Macaca fascicularis: one gene and its partners. The protein of the gene in region 3 interacts with the protein of the main gene of each other region in a biochemical or structural test. Links are inferred from orthologs where the notes say so. Each region holds a gene or a part of one and is shown on either strand. Other genes may lie near its edges.

Region 1 (3,684 bases), on a different chromosome or scaffold from region 3:
AGCCGTGCGTGAACAAATCTCATTAAATGGCCCCGCGCAGACACTGCAGCAGCAGGGAGGAGGGAGCACGGCGGCTCGCGCGGCACGTTCGGGAAGGGGGAGCGCCAGGGCGGCCCTTTTATAGGCCGAAGCCCGCGCCCGCGCGCCCCCACCTTTCGCACCGCCCCCGGGCCACGCGCGGAGCCGCGGCGTTACCTGAGAAGGGCCGGCTGCCTCCGCACCCGGCCCCTCCCGTTCCGCCGCCCGCCCGCCAGCCCGCCCTTCCCTCCCGCGAGGCCGCAGCGGCACGAGATCTGCGCCTCGCCTCCCTCCTCCCGCGGACGGATTTTCTTACCTTGTGAAAAACCGTCTCCGCGGCTGCCCCCGCCTCCTCTGCTGGATGTGAAATGGCGGTCGGCTAGGCAATTGTGAGCACCGCAGCTCCTGCCAATCCCGCATAGCCGCCAAAACGGCCCCGAACACTGGCGCACCCCTCCCGCAAGCCCCTCGAAGCCCATCCATGAGATCGGTGCTCTGCCGCCCCTTCCGCTGCCCCTCACCCAGGTGACCGTGCCCGCCGGCCGAGTCATCGATCCCGCGCGGGCCCTGTCGGCCGCCGGCCGCCTCCCTCACTGCGTGCCCCGGGGGCGGGGGAGAAAGCACCTTCTCGGCCCCCGCCCTCCGTGTTCCGCCCGGGCGCCCGCCCGCTCCCTTCCTTTCCCGCCGAGCCCCCTCCCCCGCACTACTCGCAGCCCTCCCTTCGCCACACACACCCCCCTTTCCCCTCCCCCAGTGGTTGCGTCCGTGACATCATCATCATGGCAACAAGAGCTGCAGCCTGGGACCGAGGAGCCCGTGTGATTCCCGGCGGCCGCAGCAGTGGCGGCAGCACCAGCACCGACGAAAGCTCGAGGGCTTCTCTCCTGCGGCCTCTTGCCGGGTGCTCCTGAGGAGGCGGCGGCAGCAGCGCCTACACCGCCCCGCCCGCCGCCGCTCCTCGAGGTGTCTGTGTGTGAGGGGAGGGGGCCGAGCCGAGAAGGGGAGGGGGCGCCGCCGCTGCGGAGGGAGCCGCCGCCGCTGCTGCTGCCGCTGCCGGGTCGCCAGTGAAGGGAGGCAGTGGCGGCGGCGGCTAACATGTTTTCAGTGAGGATAGTGACTGCAGACTACTACATGGCCAGCCCGCTGCAGGGGCTGGATACCTGCCAATCCCCCCTCACCCAGGCCCCTGTCAAGAAGGTGCCGGTGGTGCGAATCTTCGGAGCGACCCCGGCAGGTAAGCGGGCGCGGGGCGGGAGCGGGAGTCGGCGGGGCGCCGGGGCCGCCCTCCCCGCCGCGCACACGCGCGCACGCCGCCGGCGCCGGCCGTCTCCGTGGATCGCTGCCGCGTCTTCCCTCTCCTACGCCCTCCTCGCCTTTTCTCTCGCGCGTGACAAGAGGCGCAAAAATGTGGGTCCGCGCGAGCGCTGCGCGGCGCCCCCACCCCCGGGCAGGGAGGCGGCGAGCGCCGAGTGTTTACACGGCGTGTGGCGGCCGGGAGCGGGAGCCGCACTCCAGGGCGCGAGCCGGGGGAGCGAAAGCCGCGAGCGCCCCGGACGGCGGGCCAGGTGGCCGCGCCATGCCCATCGGTGGACGGGTTCGTAGGGTCCGCTCTGAGGTCGGTCGCTAGTGGGACCCCGGGCATCCCTTGTGTCCCTGAAGTGCCGCTTTCTGGAAACGGGGAAGTGTCAGCCTTGTTGTCAGTCGCTCCCCATGGCCTCTTTTCACCCTCGCTCTCCTCTGCCCCTTCCGGAGATGCAGTGGGCCGAAGAGAGTGGCGCCTGGGGCCAGATAATCTTTCTCACTGGGGTGACCGTGTGACTCTGCTGTGAGTGCAGGTCTGATTCCTTAGAGTTTAGTGCCAGAGCGTCTGGGGACAGGGCAGCATCCTCAGGTGCAATGCTTTCAGGAAATGTTCATCCATGAAAGTAGGAAATGCGTGTTTATGTTGCCCAACGTAAAATATCACACTTAACGGGGTGAATTTATTAGGAACCACAGCCCGACTCAGCAGCACAGACATTTTGAAAGGCTCCTAGACTGGGCTGTAGGCTTGCGTTTTAAGTACAGGTATATTTTTTAAACACAACTATGTTGAAGCAGGGGTGAGAAGGGGAGAGACAGCAGTGCAGAAGGTACGTTCTCAAAAACTCTTGGGGTTTATGATAATATAAAAAAGATAGAGGCCCAATTTACTAGGTGTTTTAAAATGGTTTTGCTTTTTTGTATGCTTTGAACTGCTTCCATGAAATAATGGAGTTCTAGGAAATAATGCCTCCTAGGAAAGGATGCTCTTCCCTCTAGCTATGAATTGCCCTATGGGATTTTAGATAGCATTTCCCACTTGATGCTCCTTGCCCTCATCACCATTCATCTTGTTACTACAGTCAGTTTCTGTGGACTACCAAGATAATAGCGCTTTCCCAAACACAAGCACTCATTCTAAGCTGTTATCTTTTAATGTGAATTCTCTTTGTTAAAATGTCAATGTCGTGAGATTTGGTAGCATATTCCTTTTTAAACTAGTGAATATGATTTTGATATGAACCTTGAAAGATGGGGAATTTGAGTGCTTTTAACGTGTTGAAAGTGTAACACTTGAAACTTTGGAGGCTGGGAAATCGAGGAGATGAAGTGTTCTATAAAATAGGTTTTCTGCCCTTTTAGATGTAGTGGTGCTGTCTTTGTTTCCAATTGGAATTTCACTGTAATGCTCTGTTCTCACTTCAGATGCAGAGGAAGGATAAGATAGTGAAGTTGATATGGCTCTGTTCAGCCAGATTTCCGAATCATAAAGGGACATGCTAGTAGGATATACTGTGGCATTTCTGTGTATTACAGCTTGTATTGTTTGAATTACTTTTCCACACATAATTTTTTCTCCTCCACACAAGTCATTAAATATGTTTACCTGAGAGATAGTCAAGCTTTGTTTCATAGGAAAGTTTCGTTTGTGGAAATAAATGAGTTTCACTATAAGCTAACTAATTCTATAACGTGAGAAATTGCTCCTTAAAAATATAGAATATTATATGCTTTTGTTTTTCTGAATATTTTTAAAAAGACACATTAACTGTTTCCTATTTCATCCTTCATGGGCATCCCACAATAGATTACCAGCCCCTTATTAAAAAAAAAAAAAAAAAAAAAAAAAACCCATAAAAACCAAAGACTAAAAACCCCCACTGTGTGGTTTTTTTTTTTTTTTTTTTTGGTATATACTTTGAAATTTATATTTTAAATGAATTAAAAAGTGACACTTTTTATATGTACATTGAAAGACATAAAACTTGATACAGAGAAAGTCAAATTTTAAATTAAGGATTATCAAATTGAATTTGCTATATAGTTCACAGTTTGCAACAAAAATGTTTGTTTCAACAAGAAAAAATTTGAAGTCATTGGCATACATTTAGAGTTTACACTTTTCATAAACCAAGCCAGCATTTTTATTAGTACGTCAGAAACTCCCAGTGAGATTAATATTAATTAAACATAATCAAAAACTGCAGAATTATCTGCTTTTGAATTATCTCCCCACGGAAAACTAGTCCAATAAAATAAAACGTGAAAATTATTAATATTAAAAGAGAGGCCAGTCTGACTTAGTAAAACTGAATGCTAGAATTTTTAATGAAGACAGATATGTTTAAAAGTAAAGATGTAAAC
Region 2 (3,749 bases), on a different chromosome or scaffold from region 3:
TCTCCTAGCTCCTGTTCAGTAGCCAGTGTCCCTCTCTTTCTTGGAACTTCTCCTTTGGAATTACCAAGTTGCAACACAAATAAGAAAATTTGTCCCATTCCTTTATAATCACACCTTTTTTTCAATCTTGAGAATGAAAAATAAAATCCTGAGCCCCCAACCAATTGAACGGACCCTCTCTTGCTCAGGGGGACCCTAGAGAAATTTTAAGAACTTAGTCATTGGGCCAAGGGCAGTGGCTTATACCTGTAATCCAAGAACTTTGGGAAGCTGAGGCAAGCTGATCACTTGAGGCTGGGAGTTCGAGACCAGCCTGGCCAACTTGGTGAAACCTCATCTCTACTAAAAATACAAAAATTAACCAGGCGTGGTGGTGAGTCCCTGTAATCCCAGCTACTCAGGAGGCTGAGGCATGAGAATCATTTGAACCCAGACGGCAGAGGTTGCAGTAAGTGGAGATGGCACCACTGCACTCCAGCTGGGGCAACAGAGTGAGACTCTGTCTCAAAAAGATAAATAAATAAAATACCTCAGTCATGATGAAACAGGAGGCTGGACATGCCTCATTATATCTTCTCCCTTTTGCAGTTTAGACACAACTGACTAGCAACGTTAGAGATTATAAGACTGAAAGAATGGATTATTGGTGGCAATAAGATTTTTGTAGCAAATTTTAAACAAGACCTAAGGCTATAATAGGCAAGAGTTAAGTCATGCATCCCTACACTTAAAGAATAAACTATGTTCTAACTGCCACAAAATATTTTTCTTTTTTCTGTAGCAGCTAAACAAGCACTGGCCTCGAGAGGAACAATATTAAAACAATTACAGTTCATCCACAGGCTAACTGACCCCCTGTTCCTCAAGCCATAACTACAGTTTTAATTGGACAAATGACTGATTTCAGTAATTTTCTCCTGATAAGAGACCACTGACCATGGACTGGTTCTGGCTAGTCTACAGAAGCTGCACATTTGAATGCCTTTGTGTCCCTGCTTCACCTTTTCATGTATAAGGCCTAACTGTAATGCAATTAAATGTTAAGTCTCCACCTCAGAGTGACCATGGGTGGTATATAACATGCAAGCTCATTCAACATGCATGCATTAGGACTCCCTTCATGAATATTCATTGCCTCTGCCATAACCTATTGGATATGTATACTTAGCAAACCCCTTCAGCATAAATTCCTGTGTCACTTTCCTCCTACAAAGCTTGCTTTTGGTTTTCAACCAGAAGCCGAGCTTCTCAGCTTGTCAGAATGGCTACCTTGCAGACTATAACCCTTCATAAGAAATGAAGTCTCCTTTCTAAATTTATAAATTGTGTGATTTTTTTTAGTTGACAATTTTTTATTTCGCTTTTCTGTGCATTTCAATAGATGTAAAAAACATACCTTTATTCATCTCGAGATGTAATTAAAGGTTTTCCACCTTATTTACCTGCCTCTCCTATCCAGATAAAGTTTGTCAAATGTCAAAAAAGTAAATACAGAGCTTCAAAAGATGTACACCAGACTCTAAAAACAACTGTCAAAGAGAATTTCTAAAATATGACAGCCTCATAAGATACAGCAATAGGATACCCTCTGTCAATACTTCAGAAGGAAATCCTGGGTAGGGCACATAATCACTGAACTGTTATTTTTTTTTCAAATCTCCCACTGCTTTACAATAATAACTTACATATTACAGTGACACTATGTTCAGTGTTTCTTGTTAATTTATATTTCTTGTATTTTTATATCTATCTAATATAGAATACGATCTCCTTTGATTAGACCAGGGCCTCACTCACAGAAGGTAGGGACTATGTCTAAGTCTTACTTCAATAGCTGGAAAACCCTAAAAGACTGGAAAACTCACTCCTAATGGCCACTTGAAAGCCTGAGAAGACCTCCCTCATACTCCATTCAGAAATATTTTCCCAATCTAGATATTGCAGACATTTCTTCACTGGAGGATCTGTGTTAAGCATTGCCTTAATTCCAGGTTCTCTCCATAGTGCATACTTTCTTATATAATGTAATGTGTTAGATCATTAACAACTTCAGATAAATGAGTTTTGTGAAGCTCTCCTTTGAGAGGAAAGAGAAGATTAAGTTTAAGAACCCTAAAAAATGTTTCCATAATTTCAAATCTCACCAGCCCTGTGGAACACAAAGCTCACCCCCACTTTTTTTTTCTACCATTTATCCCTAAGAGTAGCTAGTCCAATGTTTGATTAAAAAAAGAACACAGAAGCCAGATAACCAGCTTCTCTTCAGACAATTCCTCTTCCCATTCTGCAAATGTCGATGCCAGCCTCTTCCCCTTAAGGATGCCTGCCCAGCCACCCAGAGCCCTGAGTACTGTCCATCCCCCGTTTCTAAGATCTCTCCCCAACTCTTGAAAGTGCTTTTCCTTTCCCCATCCCCTTTATCAAATCCCAACTTACAGAGAGGCAGGAAGCATTGGGAGCCATCTTTGCAGTCAAGGGGCCAGAAACCAGAGACAGAAAAAGGATTTTAACTCCAGCTTATATACCAGCGTTGAATTGGAAATCCCCTCCTGGATTGCTGTGTTTGTCCAGCTTTGCTGTGCCCTTTGTTCTTGCATGCTCCCATGAATTTTCTTTCACTTTTGCTGGGCAGGAGTTAATAAACAAAGAATGCTTTCTGATTACGTACTTCTCCCCTCAGGCAATCTATTTGCAATCCTCATTCCAAACGGGATGGTCTTTCTGTGTTGAAAACTTTTCCCTGATTAAAAATCCACCTCTCCTCTCCCAGTCCTGACTTATTACTGTCCGTCCTGTGGCCTGGGCCCTCACTGGCATGAAGACCTGTAATGCTTGCTGAACCTCTCATGCTGCCTTTAAGAGCACCCCATTACTCAGGGGCCGTCCTAAGAACGAGAGCACCCAGGCAGGATACGGCAGTCAGCATTGTGTGGAGTGCTGTGACTGTGAGCCTGACATGGCTAGTCTGGCAGAAGGTGTAAAACATGCCTTAAGAAGACATAGGAGAAATAACCTCAGACTGAGAGGAGATACGAGTTAGAGTCCCAGGAGGGCCACTTGCTACATTACCTTGGGCAAATCCATTCATCTCCTTAGATGTTGGTTTCCCAGTCTATAAAATGAGATGACTGGAAAAGATTCCTAAGTGTCTTCCAGGCTCAGAAAACTTTGCTTGTAAAATTCCCTTTGCAAAATAACATTGGATTTCTGGGTCTTGAGCTCTCCAACATACGTCCTACCCTGTCCCAGAACCTGCAAACCAAATCCACTACTTGAGAACAATCCTAAGCCAACAATTAAATGCTGACTCCTCACTTCAACACACAAAGCAATCAACATCCACTCTCACACTGCGGGGCCTCTATTTCTCTACCTTTACTCCTGGATGCACCTCACCACTGTGATCTCAGACAAACCTAAAGGTGCCGCTCTCTCCCTCGCCCTTGAGACTTAGATGGAGACAAGAAAGGTGTGCCTGTCCCCGGGAAGTTTACTCCATCACTCTGATCCTCCTCGTATCCCAAATTAACTACTGCCCCCTCCCAAACTCTCAGGGCATTGCTATGGAACCAGTTTTTAAAAGCTTTTTTTTTTTTTGAAATGGAGTCTCACTTTGTTGCCCAGGCTGGAGTGCAATGGTGCGATCTCAGCTCACTGCAAGCTCCGCCTCCAGACTTCAAGTGATTCTCCTGCCTCAGCTTCCCGAGTAGCTGGGATAATAGGCACCTGCTAATTTTTGTATTTTTAGT
Region 3 (3,749 bases):
TTACTGGCATTTGGTTAGTAAAGGCCATAGATGTTGGTAAACATTCTATAACACACAGAAAAGCACCCACACCAAAGAAATATCCAGGCCAAAATGTCAACAGGGCTATCTTCCCTTGCCTGTCAATTTAAGACGTAACATCCACAGGTTGTTGAGGCATTCCACTCCTGTACACATAAAAGGCAAGGCAATGTTAACAGTTTATCTAGAGGATAGTATAGGTTGAAAGAGAGTTATCAAGCTAAAAAAGTTCACATGGCCATTATCGGAAGGGCATATTAAAAATAGGTTAGTAAAAATGCAATAAAAATGGCAAAACAAAGACACATTTCTGGTCAACAACAAAAGAAATAATTTCTAAAAAAAAAAAAAAAAAAAAAAAGATGCCCACTGTAGTACTTTCAAAAATTTTAGAAGATCAAATGGGAGAAACATTTGAAAAATTAGAAATGAGAATCCTAAGTGGAGGGTAACATGAAAGAGAAACTAACAGGAATTCTAGAAAGGAAAAAGAAATAGATGAAGAACAAGTATTCACCCGACAGGTAATACAGCAATTTCTCGAACTAAAGAAAAACGAACGTTCAGACAGAAAAGGCTTACTGAATCACCGGCAGAATTTTTGAAAACGACAAACAGAAATATGTGAAAAACAAAACAAACAAACAAAAAAACTGTGAGTGTTCTGTCATTTAGCAGCTAATCTTTTTCTTTTTTTGAAGTTTATCTGGTTGAATCCAATTTCCTTGATATTAATCTAATGATAACATTAGACTACAGAAAACTAATTAGTTACAGAAAATACATTATATTGAGAATATGTAGTGTATATTTTCTCAGATAGTGAACACCGTTATAATTATGTAAAATTCCAACCTGTTCCATTTGGCCACATTAACTGCGAAAGCCACTTCTAAGGGAGTTGATGAAGACTATTTTTCAGCCATATCAGATTTCTTACATCAAAATATTCAGCCCACTCACAATGTAGTGGGGGAAGAGTGAATTTCTTCCATTTTATATATTATTTGCTTCCTCTCAACTTAAAATATATTTGAGATGTGAGTACACTTCTATTTGCAGAGCGGAAAAATGACCACTTGAGATGCTAAAAAATCTGCAAGACTCAAATTACTTCCAATGATTAAATACCTTTTAGTTGTTCCACCACATTATTTAGGTATTTTATGAGCTCAAGATCAGTAGTTACAAGCAAGGTGAGTCCGTATTTCTGCACTCGAGTAAAAGTTTCAGATGGATATATGCCACGCTGATATAAAATGCTGTTGATGCCGAATGCTGCAAGCAAAAGAAATGTTACAGAAAATTCATTATCACTGCATAACTCTGGAAAATAAAATATATTTGGATGTGGCTATATTTTCATTAGGCTATACAGCTATAAATGACTGAACACACGTGTATCTTGCTGAAAGCAGAGTAGGTACAAAGTGGCATTAAAAATCCTTAAAAGTCTTGTATCTAAGTAAAAAAAGATAATTGTTTTCACGTGCCAAGGAAAAAAAAAGCCAAAGTGTATCAACCTACTATTGCCAAATTTCACCTCATTGTAATCCAAGTCCAAATTCAGATTATGAGGCTAGAGGATGTCAAAATAGGCTGTTGCATTCGAGTCAGCAACTGACTGAATAGTCACTTTGCTCCAGACAAGCCTGTATCTTCCCCTTTCCCTCCCAAATCCTGCCAGGTTCCTTTACAACGTGCAGCTGGCCTGTTCGAGAACAAGGGTTCCCAAAATCTTGTTTACCGCCAGCCTCATGCCTAATAATCACTTAGAGTGGGAGGGTGAGGGTGCTCTCGCAGTTAAAAAAAACACACACATACACACCCACACTGGGACCCACCCCAGTCACGCTGTGTCCTGTATCGGAAAGTAAGGGGTGGGAGGTGGGACGGATCTGCACTTAAAGGAAGAAACGCTCCGGAAGAGGCTACGCCGCGAGGTAGGCCCCAGCAGCACGCAGGCTTGCAGCTCCACGTTATAGCAACGCGTCAGGAGGAACAGCCTGCAGCCGCCGCTCCCAGATTACTTCTCCGGTCTCAGAGGCCGAGCTGTGGGCCTACTGAGCCGCCACGACTCAGTTCCCCCCAATATAATGGCCGGCGCGAGGACTTACAGAAGAACTCGGCCACGATTTCAGCGCTCCCGCGCAGGGTGATTCCCTGCTCCCGGGAGAGCTGCAGCGCCATGGCCAGGGACACAAACAAAGGCACGCACTTGCACTCGGCGGACAGCAACCACAGCGGCTCCCACAGCACTTCCCCGCCAAGCGTTTCAAAAGTAACGACGCAGCGCGTTGTCCGGTCCTCTGCGCAGGCGCGACGAGCCTCTAAGCCCCGCCCCACGCGGCGGGGCCCTGCCCTTTCTCTCCGCCTTCCTGCGATCTCGCGGGAACGGCCGGTTTGCGCAGGCGGAGTTGGTGGACCTGCTCGCGCTTGCCGGTTGTGACACTCCGGTAGGTTTAGGTTAGGCTGTGTCTTCTGGTCGTGGTTTACTAGTTGGGGCCGAGGGAAGAAGATGTCGATTCCAATTTCAGTAGCCGCTCTCTAGGCTTATGAACTGAAAGACCAAGGAGCACAGTTTCCGAGTTTCAAGATACTTTCAAACTGAAAGGAACGGTTTGCCAGCTGCGCCCGTACTGGCCCATGTGACCCCTAGTGAAAGATCTAAACTTCCGCTAGATGCTTTGGGAATTCCTAAAGCGACTACGTGCACAGCAGCCAACCCACAGCTTTAGAGGGTTCGCCTTCTGTGTGGGAGCGCGGCTTTTCCCGAGAAATTGGGTTAGGGATTAAAGAGAACTGCATCCTTTTTTCTGCCCTTTGTCCACGTCTGTCCTGGGCTTAGGGCCACCCCTCCGAGGCCAGCGGGGTAGGCAAGTCGGGCGGTAGGGGGCTGCATCCGGAAGTCCAGGCTGCGTTCTGTCCACCCTGCCCACCCTTAGGGGGCAGGACAGGAATAAGGTCACCTCACCAAAGAGGCCCATCAACATTGAAGAATTTTTCAATGAATCTTGACTCACCAAACTCAATGACTTTTCATTGAAAAGGGTGAGAATTATTAAGGACATATTGCACAATTAATGTTCATGTCCATTTTGAAAGAAGTTTATTCTTAAAGCAGCTAGGAAGATATTTGTAAAACGACGCCTGAAAAACTCTCATATCTGCCAGACATTATAAGAGAAATACTTGAGTGTTGTTAGTTTTCCGTTTGCTGCATAACGAATTACCACACATCAGTGACTTCAAAACAACACCTATTCGTTTTCTCAGTCCTGTAGGTCAGAAGTCTGGACGTGGCATTGTTGACTGCTTTGCTCAGTCACACAAGGTTGAAATCGAAGGGTCTGCAAGTGGGATCTCATCTGAGGTTTGGGGTCCTTCTAAGCCCTCTGGCAGAATTTCCTTGGGGTTGTTGGACTGAGGTCCATTTTGTCTCGCCAGCTGTTGGCCAGAGGCCAGCTATGTTTGTCAGCTAGCCCTTCCACAAGCCTTCTCACACTTCCCATCTCTGTGATTTCGGGGAGACCCCAGCCCCTTTTAAAGGCTCACCTGATTAAGTCAGACCCAGTCACATCTCCCTTTTGATGAACCTAGTCCCAGAAGTGATATCTGCTCATATTTGTAGTTTTCCTACCCAGACTCCGGGGAGGGGATTATGTAGGTGTGCTCTCTAGGGGCCAGGAATGTGGGGAACTGGCTTAGAGTTCTGCCTGTACAGTGTT

The links. The genes of interacting proteins can lie anywhere in the genome.
Region 1: the proteins of MAD2L1 (region 3) and REV3L form a complex in vitro, tested with the Homo sapiens proteins (2 studies listed by BioGRID). The link is inferred for Macaca fascicularis from reciprocal best matches to the Homo sapiens genes MAD2L1 and REV3L.
Region 2: the proteins of MAD2L1 (region 3) and UBD form a complex in vitro, tested with the Homo sapiens proteins (2 studies listed by BioGRID). The link is inferred for Macaca fascicularis from reciprocal best matches to the Homo sapiens genes MAD2L1 and UBD.

The regions. Positions count from the first base shown.
Region 1 is NC_088378.1:15,534,077-15,537,760, reverse strand, and holds the start of REV3L (DNA polymerase zeta catalytic subunit), read left to right. Parts: upstream 1-834; 5' UTR 835-1,113; coding exon 1,114-1,252; intron 1,253-1,376; exon of another isoform or gene 1,377-1,686; intron 1,687-3,684. UniProt on the Homo sapiens protein: Catalytic subunit of the DNA polymerase zeta complex, an error-prone polymerase specialized in translesion DNA synthesis (TLS). Lacks an intrinsic 3'-5' exonuclease activity and thus has no proofreading function.
Region 2 is NC_088378.1:143,645,736-143,649,484, reverse strand, and holds the start of UBD (ubiquitin D), read right to left. Parts: upstream 2,495-3,749; 5' UTR 2,464-2,494; coding exon 2,437-2,463; intron 1-2,436. UniProt on the Homo sapiens protein: Ubiquitin-like protein modifier which can be covalently attached to target proteins and subsequently leads to their degradation by the 26S proteasome, in a NUB1-dependent manner.
Region 3 is NC_088379.1:125,169,913-125,173,661, forward strand, and holds the start of MAD2L1 (mitotic spindle assembly checkpoint protein MAD2A), read right to left. Parts: upstream 2,341-3,749; 5' UTR 2,212-2,340; coding exon 2,139-2,211; intron 1,300-2,138; coding exon 1,153-1,299; intron 1-1,152. UniProt on the Homo sapiens protein: Component of the spindle-assembly checkpoint that prevents the onset of anaphase until all chromosomes are properly aligned at the metaphase plate.